Linked DNA regions of Canis lupus familiaris. Each later gene encodes a partner of the first gene's protein in a complex. Links are inferred from orthologs where the notes say so. Each region holds a gene or a part of one and is shown on either strand. Other genes may lie near its edges.

Region 1 (2,804 bases):
TCAGTAGGTTAGATGGTTTGAGTAAATCAACAGTTCACACAGCCACAGCCTCACATGCCCATGAAGCATCCCAGCCTAGAAATTCTGACCCAATGGGTAGGATGGGCCTGGGCTCGAGCATGTTGTTAAAACTCTTGGGGTTCTAATGCGAGGATAGAGAACCAGGGAGTAGATCAGCAGGGGGTGGGGGGTATGTGGGAATGGTGCACAGGGATCTGGCAGTGACATTGAGGCCTCCAAATGGGCCCCCAAAGGTTAGGGTCATGGATGGCAATCCAGGACACCAAGCAGTGCTGAAGGCCTTTGAGTGGATGGCTTATCTCTGGTTGAAGATGCTTTGGGGAAAAACTCCAATGAATGTCTGGGGGAACTGAGGAAGAAGAGTTAGAACTTGTGGCCAGGCAGGTAGCCCCCAGTGGAGGCCAAGGCTGACTCTTGGGGAGTGGAGTTGGGGGCCTCAGGTGGGGCTGGACTTGTAAGTTGGGAGGGGTAGAGAGCCTGGGAGAAGAGTCTGGAGAGGAAGAGAGGCTGGGCCACTGAGAGCCTTCAAAAACCAGAAAAGAGCCTGTCCTAGGATGATAGAGGGGTTGCTATATTTCAGAGAACCTGCCCAAGGCTCTGCTGCCTCTCCTCTAACAGTAGGTGGGCCTTGGGGTCTCTGGGTGAGGAACACAGGTGGGGCCTTTTTTCAAGGATCTCTTGGTGCCCTGACTCACCCAAGACCTCCATAAATGTGTGGAAGGTCTGAGACAACTGACCGGTGATCTAATCCAATCTTCACAAGCAACAAAGGCCAGAAGGCTCTGGGTTCTGACCTGCCTGAGGTCAGAAAGCTTACAAGGCAAGGGCAGATCAGAACTCAGGTCTCCTGTCTCCAAGGGCAGGTTGAATTTTCCTAGGCTATGCTGCACCAACAGCTACCACTGGGGAGCCTATGGTGCGGACCCTGGGGAGCCCTGATTCGTCCTTCCTGGGGCCCCTCAGATGTTCCAGTTTACCAGGGACCAGAAGAGCCCTAGTCTGGAAAAAGCCCGTGGAATGCCCTGGAGAGGATGGCGGCTGGGGCTCTGTCCCCTAGGTGTTTCTGTGTTGGTGTAGCTGAGCCTGGGGGATGGTCCACAGGAGGGTGTACTTTTTTTTTTTTTTTTTTTTTAAGATTTTGTATTTATTTATTCAGAGAGAGAGAGAGAGAGAGGCAGAGACAGGCAGAGGGAGAAGCAGGCTCCATGCAGGGAGCCCGACATGGGACTCGATCCCGGGTCTCCAGGATCACACCCCGGGCTGCAGGCGGCACTAAACCGCTGTGCCACTGGGGCTGCCCAGGAGGGTGTACTTGTGAGGAGGTGTGAGCATGTGGCCAGTTGCATGGGGAAGGGAAGAGGAAAGGCAGGAAGATGAGTGTGTGCCATGATAAACTGCAAGTGGGGCCCTGGGAGTGATGCGTCCCTCTGAGGGTGGCAGAGGGAGATGCCAAATTCAACCAGGGCAGCAATCAACAGTCTTTAGAGCCAACAGGACCAGTGATCCAAAACTTGCTCTGCCTCTTCCTAGCCATGAGAGCCCTCTGAGCCTCAGTTTCCACATCTGTAATGTGGGGTATATGATCCCTCCCTCAGCGGGTTCCTGTGGGTACTTTAGGTAACGGATAGACTGCACCCAGCACAGTGCCTGCCTCAGGTGCAGGCGGCAGGAATTGGATTGGACTGACTCCATGGCACAGGACAGTCTGGTATTATTCAGGACTGGGAAGAGCACCAAAGTCCTGCTGTGTCCGTGGATCAAGGCAAAGGCCAGAGTGGACCCCCCCTCAAGCCCACCCCCTCAGCTGAGCCCATCTGCACTATTAGTGGCCATGGCCACCTCTGGGACACAGCTAGGAAACTGAGGCCCCAGGAAGAGCAGGTGGGACCCCAGTTAAGGAACCATATGCCATGGGCTTGAAGGCCCACCCCCATGCCCCTATGGACTGGGGAAATCACCCCATCCCCGCCCTGCACATCTTCACATCTTCCGTCTTCCCCACAGAAGGAGCCCACACACAGTCCGACAGAGCAAGATGGGGAACCTCTGAGTGTGGTGCTGTCAGGAAGGAAGACGGGCACAGGTGGACAGCAGGAGAAGCTGTCCTTCACCAATGCTGGCCTGGACACCACAGACCTCTGATGTCCCTGCCACAGGACCTTTGCTGCAGAGCGCCACATGGGCCCCCACTCTTCTGGTCCACCTTGGAGGATGTCTTGTCACCCCAAACTACACCGACCCTTTTCTGAACACAAGGATAAATTATGCAGCTCGGTCCCCTTCTGCTTGTAGTCAATCACAGCTGACAAGAGTTGGGGGGGAATTTTATTACCAATGTATATTGTGACAGTTTATAGCCAAAAACTGTGGCTGGAGGGCTGGGGACAGGGGTATTGAGTGGTCAGCGGGGAACTCGTGGGGGCTCACAGCACACAGGGACAAGGGGTGGGAGATGGCAGTCTTTAAAGGACAACTGTGGTTGTAGAGTGAGCTCTCTGTCCTGCCCCTAATACCCAAGACCAGCTGTCAGGCTGCCTGGGACCCAAGACCTTCCATGAGCTTCTTTCTGACTGTGATTCCCAGACCTGTCTGAGACTCTCCTTTCAACTGCGCCCCCAGGGCATTCCTGCAGCTGCCTTCCCCTGTCAGGATTTGTGAGTAGGTGTCCAGTGAGGATGGATAGGGCTGGGGGCTGGGCCAGAGGAAGGGGAGACAGGAACTGGGGACGTCTACCAGCATGCAAGACAGTCTGGGGCCATGGGGGCCAGCCCACTGCATGGACA
Region 2 (3,500 bases), on another chromosome or scaffold:
CAACCACATCTTCCTCCCACCCCACTTCATCCTCATCCCAAGGCAGATCATCGTCATGATTGTTTTCCTCTCCCTCTTTATCTGCCTCAGCTTCATCAACCTCAGCTGCTCCTTGTCCCTGAAGCAATTCACTGCACATTTTAAACTCCAACCCCCTTTTGATGTCTGACATGTCTTCGGGACTTGATATTTTGTTCTTTCTAAAAACAATATTTCCTAGACCTGGACGGTTGAGAATGGATTCATGTTGCACACATCCATCATCCTCTGCTGAGAACTGGGGCTTCTCTTGGAAGTCCCCTGAGAATGCATCTTCTTCCTCTTCTCTGAACACTTCCATCACATTCCTCTGCCCACTTCTGCTCTCTTTCCCTACCTGCTCTGCTGTATCTTTGTTCTTCTTGAGCTTTAACTTGAAGGTATCTTTAATGCCCTTAGACAGTGACCCAAATGTACCAGAAGCAGAAGCATTTGCAAGGGATGACCTGGAGAATGTGCCATTGGAAGAAGAAAGAGTCCCAGATTCTTCCTTGCTATAGTTGCGAGCCATTTTATTTTGGTGCTTCTCCTGGAGCCTCTCACATTCTTTGATCTGCCTCCTAGCATTTTTCTGAGCCTGCTCCTTCAGCCTGGTAACTTTCTTGGGGTTCATGATATTCTGGGTAGTGGCAGCCTTATCCAGGAGAGCAACACATTCATTTTGTTCTCTGCTGGCAGCCGCATCCAGCGGAGACTGTAAGCTGTTGTCCAGGGCAAAAATGTTGGCACCAAAGTTAACCAGGAATGAAACACAGTGGGTATGACCATTGGAAGCTGCATAATGTAGAGGAGTATTTCCCCAGATGTCACATCTATTGGGATCCCCTCTAGAAGAGAAAATACCAAAAATATATATAAAAACATTTTTTTCTTAGAACATGGGGTCCAAAACAAAACAAAACTGAACAAAATACATTTTAATTAATCCTGCCTTAGCATTCTAAAACTTCTGAAAGTCCAGATATGTCACATCTATCTAGACATCACATGATCAGAAACAAAAGCTCATCCCCTTTTGTCTCCTTTTTAGAAGAAAAGCTTTCCAAGAACACCCTCAAAAAGCAACTTTCATGTCTCATTGTCCGCAATCGATCATGCCTATAAGAAGAGAAATAGAGCTATCATTTTAAATTTAAGTTGATTACTCTGCAGCTAGGAATAAGATTACGTAGTGGTATGCTGGTAAATGCTTAACAACTGGTGAAAAGATCGAAGTTCTGATTTATAGCATGTGCCAATATTTGTGTTATAAATACACCCACCATGACAAAATTCAAGGTACTAATGTGATAAGACAGGACATGGAATTTGGAAGAGATGTCCAAAAGCATACCTTTATAAATTATTTCCACCATATATGTAGATATAATAGATATGCAAAACTTTAAGAGTATAGATAACAGTAAAATGTACTCAAATAATTAGGAAGTGATAATTTTTGAGTATTTAAAAATATAATTTGTTAAGTCATAAGTTTAAATACCTTTATTTTTAATAATGACTGTTTAATGGACTCTCAGACTTCCTGAAAATTTAGCAATCACATCTCATAAACTGGTAAGAGCTGTTTCCTACTCTAACACTGGAGTCACATGTAGGAAAATAAATAATAATAAACAAAACTAGGTTACCACCAGCAAAAAAAAAGAGAGGGGAATGGATGTTAGGTAGGTAGCAAACTGTGTCTGATATAACCATTATTCATATAAAGAGTAGAACATCTCCATTGATTCTCCAACTCACTTCCATGCAATTACAATGTCATATATGTGAATAGTTCTGCAATAGTTTATGGTGGAATTGAGGGCATTGTTAGATGGTTTTAAGACTGGAGACCCCATGGCAGCATAGAAACTGGCTCATGGTTGATGCTTAGTAAGCATTCCTGAGATGAATGAATGCCTAATGAAGTCTTGCCCCAGACTACAACCCCAGCCCTCCTGTAAGATGTTGAGTTACAAATAGGCACAAACAGAAAGTAAAGAAGTAACTTATTGTTAATATGACTCTGGCCCCAAGCCCAAACCACTGCTGAGAACTCTGCTAATACAGGTGCTAAAGGGCATCTTCCCTCACCCTAGACTAGACTCCCAAATCAGGATCTCACTAAACTTCCCCCAGGCTGGCCCATGGAAGGACAGGAGAGAGGGTCTGAGAAAGCCTTTTGACATTCTTGGGGAGATGATTCGTGCCCTTGCAACTACTACATCAAGGCTCTGTGACCCTTCCACTATTCTGTGCTACTCAAAGTTTGGTCTCTGGATTAGTAGTAGCAGTGGCAGCTGCTAGTTTGCTAGAAATGTGAAGTCTTGGACTCCAGCCCAGATGTCCTGAATCAGAATCTGAAGTTTAACAAGATCCCAAGGTGGTATATAGGCTCATTGCAGATTGAGAAGAGCTGCACTGGTTAATGTGGCCCAACCAGTGTCCAATAATTTGATGAGTCAGATTTGTAATTCTTCTCTAGGAACCCCTAATCTCCTCTCATTTTTTCAATTGTGAAGTATCTATACATTCAGTACCATCACCACCAACAACCATCATCATCTCCTTCTTAGAGAAAGACCAGGATAATTATCAGAGGGGTAAAATAAGGCTCCAAGTACTTAACTGATTTGTCCACTGTTGCACAGGGAGCACACTTTGGATCAGGCCTGCCTCCAAGTCTAATAGTCTCCAATACAATACAGCCTTACCTTAACACACCTCAGTTTTTCTACTTCACCAGCTATGAGGCCTCAAGTTTAACTTTCATAGGACTCAGTGTCCTCATCTGTATGAGTATGAGAATAGTTTTTATGGAATTGTTATGTGAATAAGTTGACATAAAGCACTAGAAAAGTGCTTGATACATAGTAAATCTTCAATAAACATTGTTATCATTTCCCTTGTCTCTAAACTCATAATCCTTAATTTCATATCTTTGTTTTTTTCTCACACCCATCTAATAAATTCCCATAGTGCTATAATAGCTCCTGCAACTTTTTAACACTTAAAATCTTACTTAATCTGTTCAACCTTTATGCACCAACCTCCCTGATTAGATAACATGACTCAAAGGGCCAAGCCTATGTCTTTTTGTCCTTTGTATCATATCTCCTAGCAGAAGTCTCAGTCTTAACCTAAAGAAACCAAGCAGGTAAGTAAGTAACTAAATGGAGCCAAAGTCATAGTTGAGTACAAGTTCCAACAGAAAAGAAGAGCTGTCACTCTGTAGCAACTGACTGCCACCTCAAATAAAAGCAGACACAATATAGTGAGAGCTTCCATTTTCCAAACAGAGCCAGAAATCCACAGTCTCATGTGGGATTTTTTGATTTTTAGATGTTGGCTTGAATTTAAAAGAAAAATACAGTGAAGTCCAAATAAAACATATTTGTGGACTAGATCCAGCCCATAAGCTGGTAGTTGGCAACTTCATTCTGAGCAGAGAACAGCATGAACAGATGCACATATGGGTG

Evidence for each region.
Region 2: CDHR2 (region 1) and ANKS4B share a complex: the UniProt entries of both Homo sapiens proteins name them as parts of the IMAC/intermicrovillar adhesion complex. The link is inferred for Canis lupus familiaris from reciprocal best matches to the Homo sapiens genes CDHR2 and ANKS4B.

What each region holds. Positions count from the first base shown.
Region 1 is NC_049225.1:37,628,342-37,631,145, reverse strand, and holds the end of CDHR2 (cadherin-related family member 2), read left to right. Parts: intron 1-2,025; coding exon 2,026-2,163; 3' UTR 2,164-2,304; downstream 2,305-2,804. UniProt on the Homo sapiens protein: Intermicrovillar adhesion molecule that forms, via its extracellular domain, calcium-dependent heterophilic complexes with CDHR5 on adjacent microvilli. Thereby, controls the packing of microvilli at the apical membrane of epithelial cells.
Region 2 is NC_049227.1:24,443,724-24,447,223, forward strand, and holds part of ANKS4B (ankyrin repeat and SAM domain-containing protein 4B), read right to left. Parts: intron 867-3,500; coding exon 1-866. UniProt on the Homo sapiens protein: As part of the intermicrovillar adhesion complex/IMAC plays a role in epithelial brush border differentiation, controlling microvilli organization and length. Plays a role in assembly of the complex.